Linked DNA regions of Astyanax mexicanus. The protein of the gene in region 1 purifies or fractionates together with the protein of each later gene. This does not show direct contact. Links are inferred from orthologs where the notes say so. Each region holds a gene or a part of one and is shown in the gene's direction. Other genes may lie near its edges.

What was found.
Region 2: the proteins of wasf2 (region 1) and brk1 purify together in Homo sapiens (co-immunoprecipitation; 3 studies listed by BioGRID and IntAct, with this or other methods). This does not show direct contact. The link is inferred for Astyanax mexicanus from reciprocal best matches to the Homo sapiens genes WASF2 and BRK1.

Annotation. Positions count from the first base shown.
Region 1 is NC_064410.1:50,560,086-50,563,841, forward strand, and holds the start of wasf2 (wiskott-Aldrich syndrome protein family member 2), read left to right. Parts: upstream 1-1,430; 5' UTR 1,431-1,576; intron 1,577-3,756. UniProt on the Homo sapiens protein: Downstream effector molecule involved in the transmission of signals from tyrosine kinase receptors and small GTPases to the actin cytoskeleton. Promotes formation of actin filaments. Part of the WAVE complex that regulates lamellipodia formation.
Region 2 is NC_064431.1:28,748,259-28,752,014, forward strand, and holds the start of brk1 (probable protein BRICK1), read left to right. Parts: upstream 1-963; 5' UTR 964-1,009; coding exon 1,010-1,127; intron 1,128-3,059; coding exon 3,060-3,142; intron 3,143-3,756. UniProt on the Homo sapiens protein: Involved in regulation of actin and microtubule organization. Part of a WAVE complex that activates the Arp2/3 complex. As component of the WAVE1 complex, required for BDNF-NTRK2 endocytic trafficking and signaling from early endosomes.

The DNA of each region.
Region 1 (3,756 bases):
TAAAATCACCAAATGCTCTCTCTCCTCTGCCAATCAGATCTGTGTAGACTGCTGCCCTGGCCAGTGAATTGGGACGCGGCCGGGAAAAACTTCTATATAAAGAGATCAGGAGCCGGAGAACTGGCTGAAAAACGAGAACGGACGGAAACTAAAGACACGCTGAGTGCGACAAAGAGACAGGAATGTACACACAATTATACAGGATATAGTTAAAAATGGCCCGGACCTTGCACTGACGAAATTTTCTCCAGCATTCAAAATCATAGACAACCTGTCAGGTAACAAACTGATGGATTGGTCACCTGTAATGTGGGACACTCATCAAAACCTGCTTTCACCTGTTACCTAATCACCTGATTATCATGAATTTATGAAATGTTCCAAAATATGTGTTCTGTATTGAATTACAATTTCTTAACTCATTTTGAGAATTGAGCAGACTATTCTGCAGATGATGACTTATACGATGAAATTGTGCTGACATGTTTTGGAGAGAACAACCATAACACTGAGAACCAACCAATTGGGATAGACCAACAAGATGCATTCTTTTGGAAAATGTGCTAAATGTAGGATGATTGTGTTAAGTGTAGGCTACTTGTACATAACCATTTGCAAAGATGTACTAAGTGCTTGAGACATGTACAAAGCATTTGAAATGTGATGAAAGCAATGAGAAATGCCATTCTGTTGTGAGGAACCGCAAGTTAGTTTGGGGATTTGTCCATATTATTTTGTAAATGTCATCTCAGTTTCAATAAATGAGCCAAACCAATGGAGAAAAACTGTAAGAGGGGGTGAATTGGAGTGGGAGGAATTGTCCAAAATACTGAGTATTTTTCCCAGCATCCTCCTCTCTGAAACCTTTAAGAGAGTCCAGCTCCACACCCAGTGCAGAGCCTGCTTTTCACCACAGAGTGATAAAACATCTTCAGCATTTTTTACACATATACAGTATTCAATAACTTGCGCATCACTTTAAATAATGATGTCTGTTTACAAATTTAACATGCTAAATTTGTTATGTAAGAATTAAAAATCTTAATAGCAATGGAAAATCAATCATATATATAATTAAAGAATATCGAGATTATTTTTATTTTTTACAGTATCGCCCAGCCCTACAACAGGGTGCTGTCCTGTTTCTCGTGCCTACACCTTTAAGCAGAGATTTGTGGAGCTTAAAGCGAGCATCTCTCCATATTTCGGATGTGTTGGAGCAGGCCCGCGGGTCAGGAATGCCCAGGCCGCGCTACTCCGCCGGGAACAGATGTTTTCAGCCCAAACGGGTGGAGCGCTGCTCTGCTCACAGCCACGACCACAGCCACACCCCTTCTGTACAAGACTGACAGCTGAATCAACCAATTGCGTGTGAGGAGCTACTTAAGCCGTCCAATGAAAAGTTAGTAAATCCGAGCCTCTGAAGTCAGCGCCCGATTGCTCTGGTGACGGCAGATGCGGACATTTTTCTCGGTTAGAGAGAGTTGAGCTGCGAGTTTCAGTAATGTTGAGGTAGTTAGCGAATTAAAGTGGTTGTTCGACTTCAGCAGAGAGGAGCTGTATCTTTCACCCTCGGGTAAGAGAGTTCAGGAAGTATTTTCAGGGTTTAATTCAGAAAAATAGCGAGTTTATGCTGTATTTTGGGCTGTTTAGGCGGCTAAGCTAACCTAGCTAACCAAAGATCTGGCTAGCTGCTAACTGCTTACTTCCTGCTGTGGAGCTCAGGGTGGGCCGCCCTGGGAGTTTTGCTCTCAGAAAGTTGAGAAGTTTGCCCTGTCTAATAGTTTGACGTCTAATATTTTACAGAATGCTTTAAAGTGCTTAAAACAGACCTTTATCTCTTTATTATCTGTCTAAACTCTTTCAAAACGAGTCTGATTTCGCTGAAGACTTGACTGTAAGTTACCTCCATACTGTGGCTAAGTTTTCTGGTTTATTATTAGCGTTAGCCATTATTTAATCCTTTCGATACGTTTTTGATACTGTACGTCTGTAGTCAACTAGTGAGTTAGGTAACTACATTTAGCGTTGTTTTATATCTGACTTCTGCTGTCACTTAATAAATGAAACTTCTGTTGGACGTTTAGTTAACGTTACCTTCATCTAGCTTGCTAGTACTTCCAGTTAGCTGTAAGCTAGTTCCAGGTCTTCTAAAGTCTGCTGTAAATATGCAGTAAATCTCAGTATGGATTAGCTACCTAGGTTAACTAGCCACTAGCTACTGTAATGCCTAGGCCTGCTATTTGGGTTGTTTGTAGCTACCTCCCTAAAGATTTGATCGTTTGTTTTATTAGTTTTTTTTAATTACATCTGGGTGTGTGTTCGTGTAGAGTTCTGTAAACTTCCTCTAAAAGAGGAAGGTCAGAGGACTTGATGGCATGCAGCTGTGTCTATGTTCCTCTGATAGTTACCCATATCAGCTGACAGTTATGGTGCTTAAATGTTATATTTAATAAAATAAAAAGTGTATTTTATGAAAGATGAAAAATATGTGAATGGCACTAGTCACTAACGTAAAACCTCAAACTTTTAAGATGTTTTGACATTTTGATTACAGCTGCAACTAATGATTATTTTGTTAGTCGACTAATCTGATGATTGTTTTTTGGATCAGTCAACATTTATTTCAGTCGTGACTTCCATTGCTTTAAAATGAAAAACATCTAAACGTAGGGTTTATATGCCTTTTAAATTACCAGAAGAGGTTTAAATGTGGACTATTATTTAGTGAGTAAATGTGCTATCTGTTGTGTTGGGGATCATTTACAGCATAGACATTCTGGTTTAAAATGCACATTACCATAATTTTACTCACTTTTCCTTTACCTATTGCACAACATTGGTCTGCACATACACATCTGTATTGCTGCACTTCATGCTTTACACCCAACAGTACCATTTTTTTCTTTTAACAGTATATATTAGACTACACATTAAAACTAAAAAAACATCATATTTCTGTATGTATCTATATGATAACAAGACAATATAAGATAACCATATTTACCATACTTGTGCTTGAGGCACAGATGGAATGTGGCCTTTACCTTAATACCATTAGTGTAGTGAACACGCCTATACACACCTGTGAGCAAGCTCACAACATATTTTGTAATCTCTCTTAGCTGGTCCTTTATTTTTTTTTAAATATGATTATCAGAGTTACTGATTACTATTAGTTGTACCATGAAAGACTAATTTAATTTGGCTTGATTTGAGCACCAGCACAATGGGCAATAGCTTTAGCTTGAATTGTTTTTTTGTTTGTTTGTTTTTTTCACAACACAGTGGAATTTAGTCACCACCTGATTTTGCAACATTTGGGGATTAAAGCATTGTGTGTTTGTTTAGAGTTGGGTCTAAACTGTACAGGAAAACATGTGCTTGTGAAAAGGTACTAATCAAGTGCCACTGTCTGAAAATATGCTGTTACATTTATAGATATATTTATCAGTCATATCACACTTTTTTATGTTAATTATACTACTTTAAAGGCTTGTTTCTATTTTTTTCTAGTATTCTATTCATAGTTTTATTACATTTTAGTGTTAAATAATGCTGTCCTGACAAGAGAGTCTCCCTGACCTTCCTTCTTTATGTGCTTGTATGTATGTCCAACAATGAGACAGTGTACAGAGTAACCCTAAACATTTCTATTTACCATAGTATTTCTAGTATATATAGTATATCTGAATCTGGACCGTGTTGAGTATGTCTGAACACTAATGAACTGTCAGCAGGATTTTTCAGTAGGTG
Region 2 (3,756 bases), on another chromosome or scaffold:
TTAAATGATAAGGTTCAAAAACGTTTACTTAAATAGTGAAATGCCAATTACTTGGGCTGATAAAGCAGTGTCCAAAAACATTTGGTTAAATGGTGAAATGCCAATACCTGGGCTGATAAAGAAGTGCCAAAAACGTTTGGTTAAATGCTAAAATAAAAAAAATGAGTGCCAATACTTGGGATGATTAAAAAGGTTCCAAAAAAATTGGTCTAATGTTAGAATCCAAAAACCTTTGGATAAATGCTGGAATGCCAATATTTGGGCTGATAAAGAAGTGTCCAAAAACGTTTGGTTAATGATAAGGTTCAAAAACGTTTGGTTAAATGGTGGAATGCCAATACCTGGGATGATAAAGAAGTGTCCAAAAACGTTTGGTTAAATGTATAAGTCCAAACACGTTTGGTTAAATGCTAAAATCAAGAAATGTTTTGGTTAAATGGTGGATAAAGAAGTGTCCAAAAACATTTGGTTAAAAGATAAAGTCCAAAAACATTTGGTTAAATGCTTAAATATTGCTTAAATAAATGCTAAATCTAAAAACTTTTAGCTAAACGGTGGAATGCCAATACTTGGGCTGATAAAGAAGTGTCCAAAAACTTTTGGTTAAATGGTGGAATGCCAATATTTGGGCTGATAAAGAAAGGTCCAAAAAAATGTTGGTTTAATTTTAAAGTCCAAAAACTTTTGGTTAAATGGCTGATAGAGAAGTGTCAAATAAAGATGAACAAAAAAAATGTCTGATTCTAATTACCTTATTACTGCATAATTTTTTTGTAATATAAACTTTGTTATTAAAGATAAAGAAATCGAGATAAATAATAAAGATTTATGTCTGGTAAACAACAATAATATCTGCTTAATATCTGCTTTATTTTTTTTAAATGGAATAAACTGCAGAATGACCCACTTTTTCGAGGAGCCGTATACTGTTGAGTTTTTCGCCGCATGTTTGGCTGCAGGCGGCGCTGCGGAGCCACTAAAACAAACGCAGCGGCTTCAGTAGATCAACATGGCCGGACAGGAGGATCCAGTGCAGAGAGAAATCCACCAGGACTGGGCAAATCGCGAGTATATCGAAGTGATTACCAGCAGCATCAAGAAAATAGCCGATTTCCTCAATTCCTTCGGTGAGTTCGGCCAGAGGAGCGGGCTGGGGGCTGTGTGTAACCGGCCGTGAGCTGCGGTAGCCGCGGTGCTAACGGTGTTAGCTAGCGTGTGGAGGAATGAGGAGGGGCGGATGGATAACTATTAGCTGGTTAATGTGGGTTATCCCTGTTTTTAGATATGTTCACAGGCTTTTGGCTCGTTATTTAGAGCGTAACTGGAGCTGGGGAGGGTGTAGTGTACATATTTATACAGGACAAGTCGTCACCTAGAGAGCTAGTTTAGCCTTATAGCTTAGCTAACCTAGCCAGCTAGCTTAGCCCGTCAATATAAACATAAACATAGTGGACTCAGGCTACAGTAATGTTAATGCAGTTAGCTGGCGGGATAGATAAACTTTTTGAGTGTAATAAACCGTAAATGTGAGTCTTTAATATTACAGTACAGTGTATATAAATGTATATTTCTCATTATACCTCCTTAGCTACATATAAACCACTAGCTTCTTTTAGCTTCCTGTTTTTTTCTGGGTGCGTTCTGGTGGCGCTGCAGCTCAGTATGACTAATGCTAACCATACACCAGAGAACTTTAAAAAGACAGTAGACACCCAAAGACAAGTCACAGACTTTTTACTCACAGATAGACAGAGGATCACTGTTTGCAAGACTGCAATTAGATTATTTCTGAGATTATTTACCATCATGCTTCTGGTGGAGATTACATACAGTCGAATTACATTTTGAGTTACAAATAATGTGTACATCAATACTGTGATTTATTAGAGATTTACAGCTTTTGGCCCATCAACAGTTTATTTTTTAGTCACAATGTTACTTCTTGATATTTTTTAATATAATACATTTTGTGTTTAACTCTGCCAATTTGCTTATTTTCACTTTTTTGCTTCAACCTTGAAAAGAAAAGAATCACAGTTTCACTGCTATACCTATTTAACTTTGTTTTAGATAGAATCAATGCAATTAAGAACACCATTCTTGCAAAATGTGTATTTATTAAACTTGTTTGTATCAAAAATAACACTGAACAACAAGACAAAGTAGTGCAAAATAAAATAACTTTATATATATTGACTTTAAAGTGCTACTTGTGTTTAAAGTATTGTACATATTAAAGTAAGGTCCATTTAAGACGTATTAACTGCAAAATGTGTTTTTTTTTTTATCGTTTGTGAAGAGTCACGTAAAATATTAAGTAAAAAAGTAAGTAATATTGCTTTGCAGCTTCCTGTAGCTCTTCGATTGGTTGTTGACATTGTTCAGGTCACTATTTGTGTGAGCTAAGTCTCAAAACTTACGACAATATTTAACACGATCGATTTTATCTGGTCTTATCTGATTGTCAGGACGCGAAAAACACTGACTTCAATCCTAACCATCTTACACTGAACAATTAAGATGACACGACCGCAAATCAACTCTAGCAACACTCTTATGATTTTATCCTGACACTGGAAATTTGTCTGCGACAGTGAAATCGCTTGAAAATTGTTTATTTGCAAAATATTTTTAGCCAACTGGTTCTTACATAGACTGGTCACATCTTTAATCCCTCTTTTTCACATTAACTGGATAAACCAAAGAATAGGTCTATTGAAACTACCAGTAATAAAAAAGATAGAAAATATTTTGAAGTAGCTCAGCCAGTGTTGGCCAATTGTAATATTGCAGTCGGCATAGCTTGGTCCTTTTCCAGAATACAAGTGGCCAATTCCCTGTGATGGATATCTGGGATGTGCTTTATATATTGTCTTGTTTCTGTATGTTGACAGTAATGATTTTGACTGGCAGCATATGGCAAAAACAACTATTAAATGGATGTTTTTTTCTATATTGTACAAATGTCTACTGCTAAAAAATTGCTAAATAAACTATGCTTATGTACAAAAGTAAGAGTAACAATCAGTTTCTGAATATCTCTCTGCTTTCTTTACCAGATATGTCGTGCAGGTCCCGCCTAGCCACCCTGAATGAGAAGCTGACTGCCCTGGAGAGGAGGATTGAGTACATTGAAGCCAGAGTAAGAGCATATGTGGTGTTAAAAAGTCCATTAACAGCATTATACACTATTCCAATTAGCAGCCTGGTTCCTCTGTGTGGGTTCAGCTAAGCCATGAATCTGAACACAGATAATGCACATGCTTTTGATTGATTGAGGTCTGTCTCGCTGTCAGTGAAATAATCTGGTCTATATTCAGGTAGTCAGCTGACCTCATTCTTTCAGCACATACTGTTCCTGAACCTAGACCTGACCAACTTCAGCATCAACCCCACATAATTTGCTTAATTAAATCCAGGTGAAGACTTTTTTTTAGCTAGGAAATGTGGCATGTCAGAGAGCAGCCTCTCAGAACAGAAGACAGAATTTACGTGCATTTGTCATTTACATGCAAAACTCTACTCAACTATTAATAGTTTATTTTTTTAGACGGACATAATGCAATGCAAATAAAAAATATCGTCACGCTTTTGCATGTTTGCATTCTGCATTAGTTGAGGTTTGTGGCACAGATGTAACCCTCTAAACAGGAACTTGGTGAGTTGGACCATAGTGCTACAGCTCAGAATGAAACTGCTGGGTGTTAAATATTCAACTTAAGCAAATAAAAGACAGCTTGTTCAGCAACAGCCAAA